Linked DNA regions of Mus musculus. The protein of the gene in region 1 interacts with the protein of each later gene in a biochemical or structural test. Links are inferred from orthologs where the notes say so. Each region holds a gene or a part of one and is shown on either strand. Other genes may lie near its edges.

Region 1 (3,500 bases):
CAGTTACTTTCCTGTCACCACATTAATATAGGGGATATTCATGTTTTACTCTGAGTTTGTAAGTTTATGCTTTCTCTAGAATTAGCTGCTACCACAGACAAATTAAGAACACAGTGACTCTCATAAACGACTATTTGAAACAAAGCATTCAACTCACCTTCTCAAAATAAGGCCCACTGTCTGTGGTTCCCAAGTCTTTGGAATTAGGTGGACGGAACCCAGGTCGATCCTTCCTCATGATATCATTAAAATCCCCGAGATTCATTGTTCTCTTGTCCACATCAAATTTCTTATCTGAAAGGACATAAATAAAAATGTCAGGAATCAATGTCCCCTCAAGAGCCACGTGTAGCCTGGCCCGTCTGTTCTCTAGGGACCCGGGGACAAAGCCTCTCTACTCTTTGGAATGAGCCTAGGAAGAATTCTCACTGGCTCAGGGTGCTTGCTCTGTTCCTGAACCGTTTTTCAAAAATTAAATATGTATCTGCTGTAGCTTGTCTACCATGGAACACTTGAGAGACTTGAAGCCAAATTGATTAAGCCAATATTTAGGTTAAAATTGACGTGCTGGGTGAGAATACATCTTGTTCATAAAGTCAAATCTTCTCAGTGAGAGACCAGTCTGTTTTGTTATGTTAGCACTTGTTAGAGACATTGTTAGAGTTTTAAAGCAATTATGGGGAATAGAAAGATCAGAGGCACTCCTGTTGCCTAAAAATGTAAAGCTTAAGACTTTAACACAGTTGAACATTTCTACAGTACTTGCTCAAGCTTCATCTGCATGTGTGATGCAGACTTCCTCCTCCTCCCTTTCCTTAGCCCTATAAATCTGCTATATGATGACACAACTGGGTTGCAGCTCAAACTACACAGTACCACTGCTATCCAGATTGTTCCCTCTTACTCTTAGTTTGATTCCTCTTATGTTCCTCGGGGTGAGCAAAAGCATTCCTGAGAAAAATCTCACAGACGATGGGCTGACCCCTGCATTTGCTCTGGTCACAACGGAAAAGTATGACAAAGATGAAAACCTTGGGGTACAGAGAGTCAATCTGATGGTCTAGTTTACTAGTATCACAGACATATTAAAATAATCTGAATCTAGCTCCCAGTACTTGGGAAAAAAATCTGGATGCTAATAAGGGATGGTGCAGTGAAGTTTGCACTTTTCATGTAGTAGAATAAGGTTGGCTTCTGAGGTGGACATACCCTCCTCACAGTTAAACCTAGCATTTAACATTCCTTCACATTCTCCTGGAACTTCAGTCATTTGAATTTTCAACCTCTATACTGCTTTAGTGCATGAAATCTGATATAAAATAAAGCAGTTAGCATCAAGCATGTCTATCAATCTGCCTCAACCCAAGCAGGGCAGGAGATGCCAAGGGCCTGGCAGAGCCGTGAACACGTTCCCCTCCTGTTTGTAGAGACACATACCTACAGACAAATCCATTTTGCTGCTTGGGTTATCCTCAGTTTGACTCTGAACAAAACAAAGCAAACACAAGTGAGTAAGGATTAAGGGAGGATACACGTTGTACATCAGAGAAGAGGCGCTCCTGCTCATGTGAGAGCCTCATGACCATAGGCACTCCACAAGAGCCTCTGCCGTGACCTTGAAACTGGAGTGAAGGCTGTAACATTTTTGCAATCACAATTTGATGGCCATCAAGGCTTAATTAAGTGTCTAACACATGTAATTACACATGTCAATTACACATGTAAGCAACATCAGTACAGCTATGGACAGAGGACAAGTTCAACAGCTGCCTGGAGAAATAAACTGCTTCTTAAGTATGCATAGTCAAACTCCACAAGTTGTAGCTAAATGGTGATAATATCTTCTTATGACGTGTCAGTGAGCAAATCTTAAACTGTGTAGTCAAATCATTTGTCTTTTGACAACCATGACCAGATGTCTTCACAGTGTTCCCAAGAGATAAGGAAAGTAAAGACACAGCACACATTTTTCTCTACATAATGAATCCCAGTATAGTGATTCTGATTATTTTTATTTTTAAAAATGATGTGCAGACACTAGTAACAAGTGTCCATTTAAGTGTCTTTGTTGTTTCCACCTTTCCAAGAGAAAAGATACAAAGACAATTCACTTTTAATGTTGGTATATATCACTTAATAAAATAGAAATACTGTTTAGCTCAGAGGGCCAAGAACACTGTTTAACCCATATTTAAATCTGTAATTTTGTACTGTACATGTGTACTTACTATGCCTGAAATTTGAGATTATGTTTATACATGAAGAAAAATGAAACTTACCAGCAATCCCATATTTGAAAACTGTTTGGCAAGAGGATTCATCCATGAATCATTGTTTCCTCCTTTTAGTGAGCACTACAGAATGAAACACATGACCTCAGTCACAGAGCTCATCACAACCTCCCAAACTATAAACCACACTGAAAATGCAAAGCTGAGAGTTCACCTTCCTGAACCTGATAGCTTTAAATGACTAGTAAGCCCTAGGTCCAGTCATGCTTTTACTCCTACTTATCATAGTGAAGTGGAAAAACAAAGTTTACTTTTTACATGCAAAGAAGTGGTATCAGACTGTGTAAGATGTCTACATACTGCCACTGCCACCTCCCGTAGGATGCTCTTCTGTGACCCCAGCAGGCTTGTAACAGGGAAAGAATTGCTACTGGTGCATGTTGTTTGGAAAGGAGCCTGTTTGAACACAACATCACTCTGTGTGGGGGCAATGTGGAATGCATCCAGAGAGCTCTTCATATGGTTCACAGCATGGAGGCCATCAGTTCTCAGTGAGAAAGAGGCCTGGAGGAAGCCACTATCCTTGAGCTCTGGCACAGTGGAAGGCAGGGATTAATGGGATGGGGGATGAGCTTTGTGGGCCTGCACATTCTATAGGTAAACATTCCATGTGCTATGATATGTCATACTTATTATTATTGTTGGTGTTAGTTGAGACAGGATGTCCTCACTCACTAAAGCCTAGAATATCTTGAACTCTTGATCCTTTTGCCTTTTGTCTTCGAGGGTTGTGATTACAGATATGAGCCACCACAACCAGCTTGCTCCATAAATAAGTGTATATAATATTATATACTTATATACAAATATATCTATATATTACAACATTGCATATTATATCATGTTAGATACAATATATAATTATAAATAACCTTTTAATTATATAATATATAAATTAATAATTAATTATATATTATGGTGATAGATATATATTTTATTAAGATTAAAGAAGAGTCCTGGCAAGCATGAGAGATAGTGAGTTTATTAGTGCAGAGCTTTCAGCGTTAGAAGAAAACAAACTGCATGTGAGCACACTCAGTGGCACTGACCTGCATATTGAAAAATGGTTAAGATGACAATTTTTACATTTTGTGTATTTTATCACATTAAAAAAAGTCCTAGGCTGGGTGTGGTGGCGCACACCTTTAATCCCAGCACTCGGGAGGCAGAGACAGGTGGATTTCTGAGTTCGAGGCCAGCCTGGTCTAC
Region 2 (3,500 bases), about 7.8 Mb from region 1:
AGGACTTTCCAGCCCCAAGTGCTTTAGCTTTGATCCTAGCAGTAAGCTCCCAGCCCCAAGTAAGCAGAGTAGAAAACACTGGAGTCTACACTGCAGTAAAGCTCCAGGGACCCGCTGCCAAGTCTGTGGAAGCCCATTCCTGACCTGTCCCGAGGCCACTCACTCTCCCAACTCTTCAGTGGAGACTGCTGGCCCTGGCACAAGGAGCAGGGTGACAACAGCCCCATACCAGCCTTCAACTGTTAGGGACTCCAGCCCTAACAGTCACTCATCCCTGATGCCCCTGGTTCTGAGGAGCCCAGGACTTATGCCCACATAAACTACCAGTGAGCACCTCTCCACTGACCATTTAAGCCAGCTGGTGTATGCATGGGGTGTGGCCACCTCACCTGCCCTGTGGCAGCAGGATGTTGTTGACGCCTCCCAGTTTGACATTGATCTTTAAGCAGAGATTGGATAGGGTCTGTGGCGTGGTCCTCTGCACGTTCTTCATCTGGACGCACTGTGTGGCCATCCCCAGCACTGTGTCTCCCACACGCTTGACTTCCGCTGTGGAGCAGAGGCGCACATGTCACAACTCCCAAATAGAAGCAGCTGTCTTCTGCACCCTTTTGGACTGCACCGGTGCAGTGTTCAGCCACAGCAGCTGCGTTAGGCGCCTGCAGTCAGCCTAGGGAAGATGCTGGCAGACAGAGGGGCAGGGCTCCTGGCGGAATCCTGCTTTAGCACTGCCAGGCACCTGTGCCTGTCTCCCTCAGGACAGGAACCGGGAAGCACATCTCATACCAGCCATTTGTGATCCTGGGCCAGGGCGTGGCAAGCAGAAGCCAGCTATAACTAAGGCTTCAGCATTCCTCAGCAGAAATGACACCTCATGTTAAGCAAATGCCTACGTGGCTAAAAATAAAACCACCGGTCTTGTCAAAACCCTTGGCAAACACAGAACATCAAAGTGCCGTGGGGATCCACACTTGTCCATCCCCACATTCATTCCTGAAGCAGCTGGTCACTGCTCTTAGGACTGTTCTAGAAACGCGGACTCTAGGGACAACACTCATCTCACCTAAACACCACTGCCATGAGAAAGCCTTCTTTGAACTGAGAGGGAAAGACCATGCCATGGGTCTGTGGTCTGCCTGTGGTTAGATAGGACAGACCCCTACTATCACAACCATCAGGAAGCCCAGTTGCTTTCCTTGACCCCTGTATAGATCTCACACCAACACCCTTTTGCTGAAAAAGCCTATGGGGCAGACAGCTCTCACCTTGCAGATCTGTCCATATAGCCTCCCTGCCCACCCCCCCTACTACCCCCCCTGAACAGAAGGCTGTACCTAATCCATTCCCTCTTCTTCAGCATCACTGGGCTCTCCACTGATGAAGGAACAACTACCCTCTAACATTAAGAAACCCACCCTTATGTGGGGTGGTGGCAGAGACCAGACTGACTGAATCCTAGGGAACCAAGAGCCAGTGGGGCCTCCTCGGGGAACACTGACCTATCAGGGCACTCTCTTCCACCTGCCAACACTCATGCCACAGCATGAACATGAAACCAACCGTCAAGTCAAATTATGGGCTGTAGCTGGCCTTTGCTACTTTGTGGGTTCCTCTTTTTCCTGCCCTTTTATTTACTAGTTTCACTCATTAGTAGATAGGAGAAAAAGGAAGATAGAGGTGGGAGAGATCCCTGAATCCCATTTATTTCCTTTTCTTTATTGTCCATGATTACTAATAAAATGCAACCAACCTCCCTGAATGACTAACAACTACTAACACCCTCTCTTGGGGGTGTTGGTGTCAACACAGAGGGGACCAGTCATGTATACACCCTCTGAAAAGTTCCTAAAATTCCAAACATTGCACAATTGCAGAGACTATCTGCAACTATGGGTCACTGGGAGTTGCTTGATACATGGGGTTGTGGCCTCACTCAAGAAGATGATGATGGACCAAACGTATATGAGAGTAACCCACCTCCCTCTCCCCTTCTCAGGTTCAGGAATGGGCAAGAACCAACCATTCAGCTCAGTCAGCACAAAGGGGACTGTTCCAGGCCACTCAGGGCCACTGGGACCTCCTCGCCCCCTGAAGCCTGCAGGGGGCCAACACCTACCATACACAGGAGTTTTGCCAGGCAGGATGACCACCACCAGCTGGAGGCCAGCGTATGTGTTCTTCAGGTGTCGGAACATGGGCTCCACACTGTCTGCACCCTGTGCGTATTTACAGAAGCAGGGCTGACCCTGGATCGGCATCCCAGCATCTCTCGAGATCTTCCTCAGTTGCTCTGTGAAGGACCTGAGGGAAAAGGCCACTTTGCTAAGATGTATAATACATGGTAAGGAGGTCATATCAACCAGGGTCTCCGAGTACAGTTTAACAAGGTCAAAGATCTTGCCTAGCATGCACGCAATCTCAGCATTTGGGAGAGGCAGGAGGGTCTACAGTTAAGGTCATTCATGACTACACATTGAGTTTGAGGCTAGCCTGGGACACATAAGATTCTGTCTAAACAAAAGAAAACAACAACAACAAAAAAGAATTAAGTTTTTTATTTGCTTTCGGTAGCCCAGGCTGGCCTCAAACTCAGAATTCTACTGCCTCGCCCTCTGGGGCCTAGGGTTAGGTACCATGGTATGCTAGAATCTAATCTCAGATAAAGTCAAAGGCATATCAGCCCATGAATGGGGTGAGTACACCATACAACCATGGAAGGCACAGGGGTCATCGATGGGATAAAATGGCAGATATAATATGCATGCTTGTGCTAGGTTAGTAGTGGCGCACGCCTTTAATCCCAGCACTTGGGAGGCAGAGGCAGGCAGATCTCTGAGTTTGAGGCCAGCCTGGTCTACAGAGTGAGTTCTAGGACAGCCAGGGCTATATAGAGACCCTATCTCGAACCCCCCCCCCCCAAAAAAAAAGCATGCTTGCTGCCTTTCTGTAGTGACACAGTATGGTTCTTTTGTGCCATGCAGGCCAACTAAGCAAAATAAAGAACACCATCAGCTGCCTGTGGGTTTTCCTTCCCTGCTGCTCTGGTGGGTGTAGTCTCGGAAACACAGACCCAGAAGAAAAGAGAACAGGTGGCAGTCAAGCAAATCCGGCGCTTGGACTGCCAAACCAGACTCAGGTAGCTGAGAAGACCGGCTACGTTCAGAGCAAAAACATCGATCAGCAGCCAAGGTGGGGACATTTAGCTTCAGCCTAGTGGGCCAGCAGTCACCTCCCCTGTGCTACATTTACAGAATTCATGGTTGTGCACCTGCAATCACACCACCAACAGGTGGGGTGTGTCTGGGGACAGAGATACCAAGGATAGAAGATGGGCAGGAATTGGTCAGCACCCAGTGTCTGCTACTGGCTTCCTTTTCTCTGGGCTCGTGGCTCATTCTGTCAGAAGCACAGGCCAACACTACCACCAGTGCTGGGTGGCAGCCTCACCAAAGAGCCTCTGGCTGAGATGGTAAGGTTACAGCTAGACTTTACAGGCTTTG
Region 3 (3,500 bases), on another chromosome or scaffold:
AGATCTTCCTTTCTCCAGCGGGCCTCTAAGCCTGGGCTAGAGCTAACATATCATGGCTTCATCGCCAGAGTAGGGCAATCCTAAGCTCAGGCTCCTCAGAAGGGGAACCTGTACACGGAGGTTCAAATTTCCCATCCCAAGCAATAATGCAGGAAGAAAAAAGAATGGTCAAGGAAAGAGGGGGCCTTGCTTCAAGGTCAGCAAAGACAAAGCTAGAACCCACTTCTTTTCCAGTCCTGCAAGACAGCTAGCTGAACCCCAGAACCTCAAGAGAGGGGTAGAAAAAGAAAAGCCCATGCCACCCACTCACATGCCCTAGTGAGAAACAGGAAAATTTCATTTGTGTAAACAGAAGCAAATGGGAGCAGCAAAATTCCCCAGCCTGTCCAGAGGACGTGCTAGAGTCTCGGTTAGTCAGGGATCAAAGGACAGTCCAGTCCAGAAAAGGGGAAGATGCACTTACAGGGAAGAGGGCAGGACAGCGCCCTGGAGGGAGGCTGTCTCGAGAACAAGGCTTTGTCTGCACAGAGGAAGGACAGAGGCTGAGCCCCACCTTGGGGAGACAACCACCCCCTACTTAGCTAGGCCAGAACACAAGTCAGTTCCACAGTTCCCTCTTACGGCTCCATGTTTCTGGAATGCAGACTCATCAGGTATGGGAGGGAATTTCCAGATTTTGGCAATAGACTCAAGTTATGGTATAAAAATAACCTTTAGATTTTTTGTTTTCTTATTTTAGTCCTTACGATCTTCTGCTGTAAGACACCCCAGTTAAGAAATATTGAAACGAGACTTTACCATCAGGGGTAAAAAAGCCAAGAATGAGAAATACTATGACAGTAACTCTAGATCTGGCAGGGTGGTGGTGGGGCCAGGGAAAAGAGGAAGCTAAAGGGGAAAGGCCAAGGGCCAGTCATCTCAGCAGCTCGGAGACTTGTCACGTCTGAAAGTGCAAATGTCAATGGATTTTAACCATCTTGAGGTTGTGACCTTTTTTTAAAAGCTCAATGATTATGGAAGTCAATTCCTTCAAATGAAAATTAGCTGGCATTCTGGCTGGAGGCTCGCTGGCATTGGGCTATTTCTGCCCTCCCTCCCTCCCTCCTTTCCCACCCACACCCCACCCCACAGAGAAAGGTACAAAAGGTTGCAGTTCTGCAGCATTACCGTTGCGGGAAGGCACTGGTTACCCACCAGCAGGCGGAAGGAAGACAGGGTCATGTCACCTCAGAGCTAAGTGCCATAGTGCCTTAAGTGTTACGAGGGCTGGATGTCTGTCAGGGAAAAGGTGCATGGGGTAGAGAATGTGGAGAGGAATGATGGGAGGGGATGGCAGCTGGGGAGGAGCAACCCAAACCATTAGCATTAAAAATCTTCCTACAAAGTGGATTCTGAACCCATGAAAACATCTAGTATCCTAAAATATTGATCTGAGTCTGTTTTCCTTTTTCTTAAACAAATCTAGACCTTTTCTGATTAAGGCTCCTAAAAATTCCTGCCCTCTTCCCACCCACTTTCTCATCTAGAATAGCAAACCCAAACATACCAGCATTTGACCACAGGGCTGCAGAGCTGACCCTAGCAGGCTGTTGAGCATGAGTCTTTAGCACTGTGAGTCACATGAGACAACTGTGTGTATGGTGGGTACTAGTGATGCCCCTTTTGGTCCAAGGGGGTCGGATATGACAAGATGGGGAGAGGGGTTGAGGACAATGAGGTTGCTATCAGTGATTTCTGGCTGGTAGTCTGTCTTGCTGGTCCTCTTCCCACCCTTATACCCCCTCTGTAGATAGAAACAAGGCCTCCTATACTCCTTCCGACCCCACCTCCCTCTGCCTTGCTTCCTCTGGATTTGGGTGGTACAGCTCCCAGGGCTTGGAAAGCTTTCTTCTATCCAGTGAGGTAACAGCGTTCTGCCTTCAAGCGAAGTACATGGTGCGTAGAGTATCCTGGTGAACCTGCACAGCTTTGGCCAGGGCCTGGGGGTCTCGCCCATTGCTTTGCCCTGATATGTGGCTCCCCTCTCCACTGAAAAGAAAACATATAAAAAAGTCTTTCCTGGTGAACTGAACTGCTGCTAATCCCTCACCCATGCCTACAGTGCCAATTCAGATACCAAATTAAGAGAAAACACCGACTCATGTTTAGGTAGAGAAGCCAAGGGTCTCAAATTGGATAGCATCCACTTCCTTCTATCAACAAAAAGTCCAAAGGGTTGGTACAAAAATGGAAGGAAAAAGCAAACAGCTAGCCTTTACCTGTCATGTTCCTTGTCCACCAGGTGGTATCGTGCCCGGAAAGCCACCAAGCGAGCATAGTAGGCAGGTGCTGGGATAGAGACAGAACGTGTGCATCGTACGTAAGTGTGGCACAGCTGGTATGTCAAGATCTGGAGTTCATCTGCTGTGAAACGGTTGTCATCCCAAAGGACATAATAATGGGATGGTCGGCTGGTACCCTAGGTAAAAAAGATGGTAAGTGGGCCCTAATTGGACAGAGTGGATGCCTGCTGACAAAAAATAAAAACAAGCAAACAATAACAACAAAAAACAAACAAAAAAACCCACTTCTAATTAAGAATATGTTTAGGTTGCATGACCATACCCCACCACCCATAAGAGGAATAATACACAAAATCAAATATTATAAAGCAATCTACAAGTACACTTGGGGCTAGCTAATGGTCATTTTATATACTCAACTACAACAAACATTCTAAATGCAGTAGGAATAACCAACTAATTCTTAACCCAATAAAAACCCCAGGAGATGCCACCTACCTGGATGCCTGCATGGCTGCACAGATAGAAGTCGAACTCAAATGGGTGGGTGATGTTGGTGTCCACAGTGGTCCCTGCTGGGATGTTACCACTCTTCCCAATCTGGAGAGACAAACACAACCAAGATCCCAAGACCTGCCTGGCCCTGCCTGGCACCTTTACTGGATTCTACTCTTACTCTCCCAGAAATCAAGAACAAAGAAGTTTATTCTCTGAGGGAACTAAGTCTTGAAATAGTGGGCTTCTAAAGTCAAGTTTTTGAATCCTGGTTTCGCCATTTACTAGTTGTGTGAGTCTATCAAGCCATTTAACCTTTCTTAAGTTAAACGGAGAGATCAATAGTACCTACTTCACAGAGCTGCTGTGAGGAGACTCCTTGAACAGTTAGTGTGTGGCACATAGGAGAAGTTCAATAAATGGTAGTTCCCTTTCCCTTCTCTGGGAGCTGGTCTATATAAGGGGTCTAGACCAGAGAGCCAGGAGGAGAGGAAGTATGAGGGAGGGAGGAGGGAAAGAGGAGGGAAAGAGGAAGGAGGGAGGAGGGAAAGAGGACGGAGGGAGGAGGGAGAGAGGAGAGAAGGAGGAGGGAGGGAGGAGTGAGAGAGGAGAGAAGGAGGAGGGAGGGAGGAGTGAGAGAGGAGAGAAGGAGGAGGGAGGGAGGAGAAGTGGTGGAGGACGGGCCACAAAGCCAGGGGAAACAGCCAGGGAGGACACACAGGG

What was found. The genes of interacting proteins can lie anywhere in the genome.
Region 2: the proteins of Tnrc6b (region 1) and Ago2 form a complex in vitro, tested with the Homo sapiens proteins (3 studies listed by BioGRID and IntAct, with this or other methods). The link is inferred for Mus musculus from reciprocal best matches to the Homo sapiens genes TNRC6B and AGO2.
Region 3: the proteins of Tnrc6b (region 1) and Ago1 form a complex in vitro, tested with the Homo sapiens proteins (2 studies listed by BioGRID and IntAct). The link is inferred for Mus musculus from reciprocal best matches to the Homo sapiens genes TNRC6B and AGO1.

What each region holds. Positions count from the first base shown.
Region 1 is NC_000081.6:80,885,813-80,889,312, reverse strand, and holds part of Tnrc6b (trinucleotide repeat-containing gene 6B protein), read right to left. Parts: intron 2,355-3,500; coding exon 2,280-2,354; intron 1,484-2,279; coding exon 1,438-1,483; intron 295-1,437; coding exon 158-294; intron 1-157.
Region 2 is NC_000081.6:73,118,948-73,122,447, forward strand, and holds part of Ago2 (protein argonaute-2), read right to left. Parts: intron 2,302-3,500; coding exon 2,117-2,301; intron 550-2,116; coding exon 390-549; intron 1-389.
Region 3 is NC_000070.6:126,437,584-126,441,083, forward strand, and holds part of Ago1 (protein argonaute-1), read right to left. Parts: intron 2,883-3,500; coding exon 2,781-2,882; intron 2,459-2,780; coding exon 2,259-2,458; intron 2,029-2,258; coding exon 1,920-2,028; coding exon of another isoform or gene 1,806-1,919; 3' UTR 1-1,805.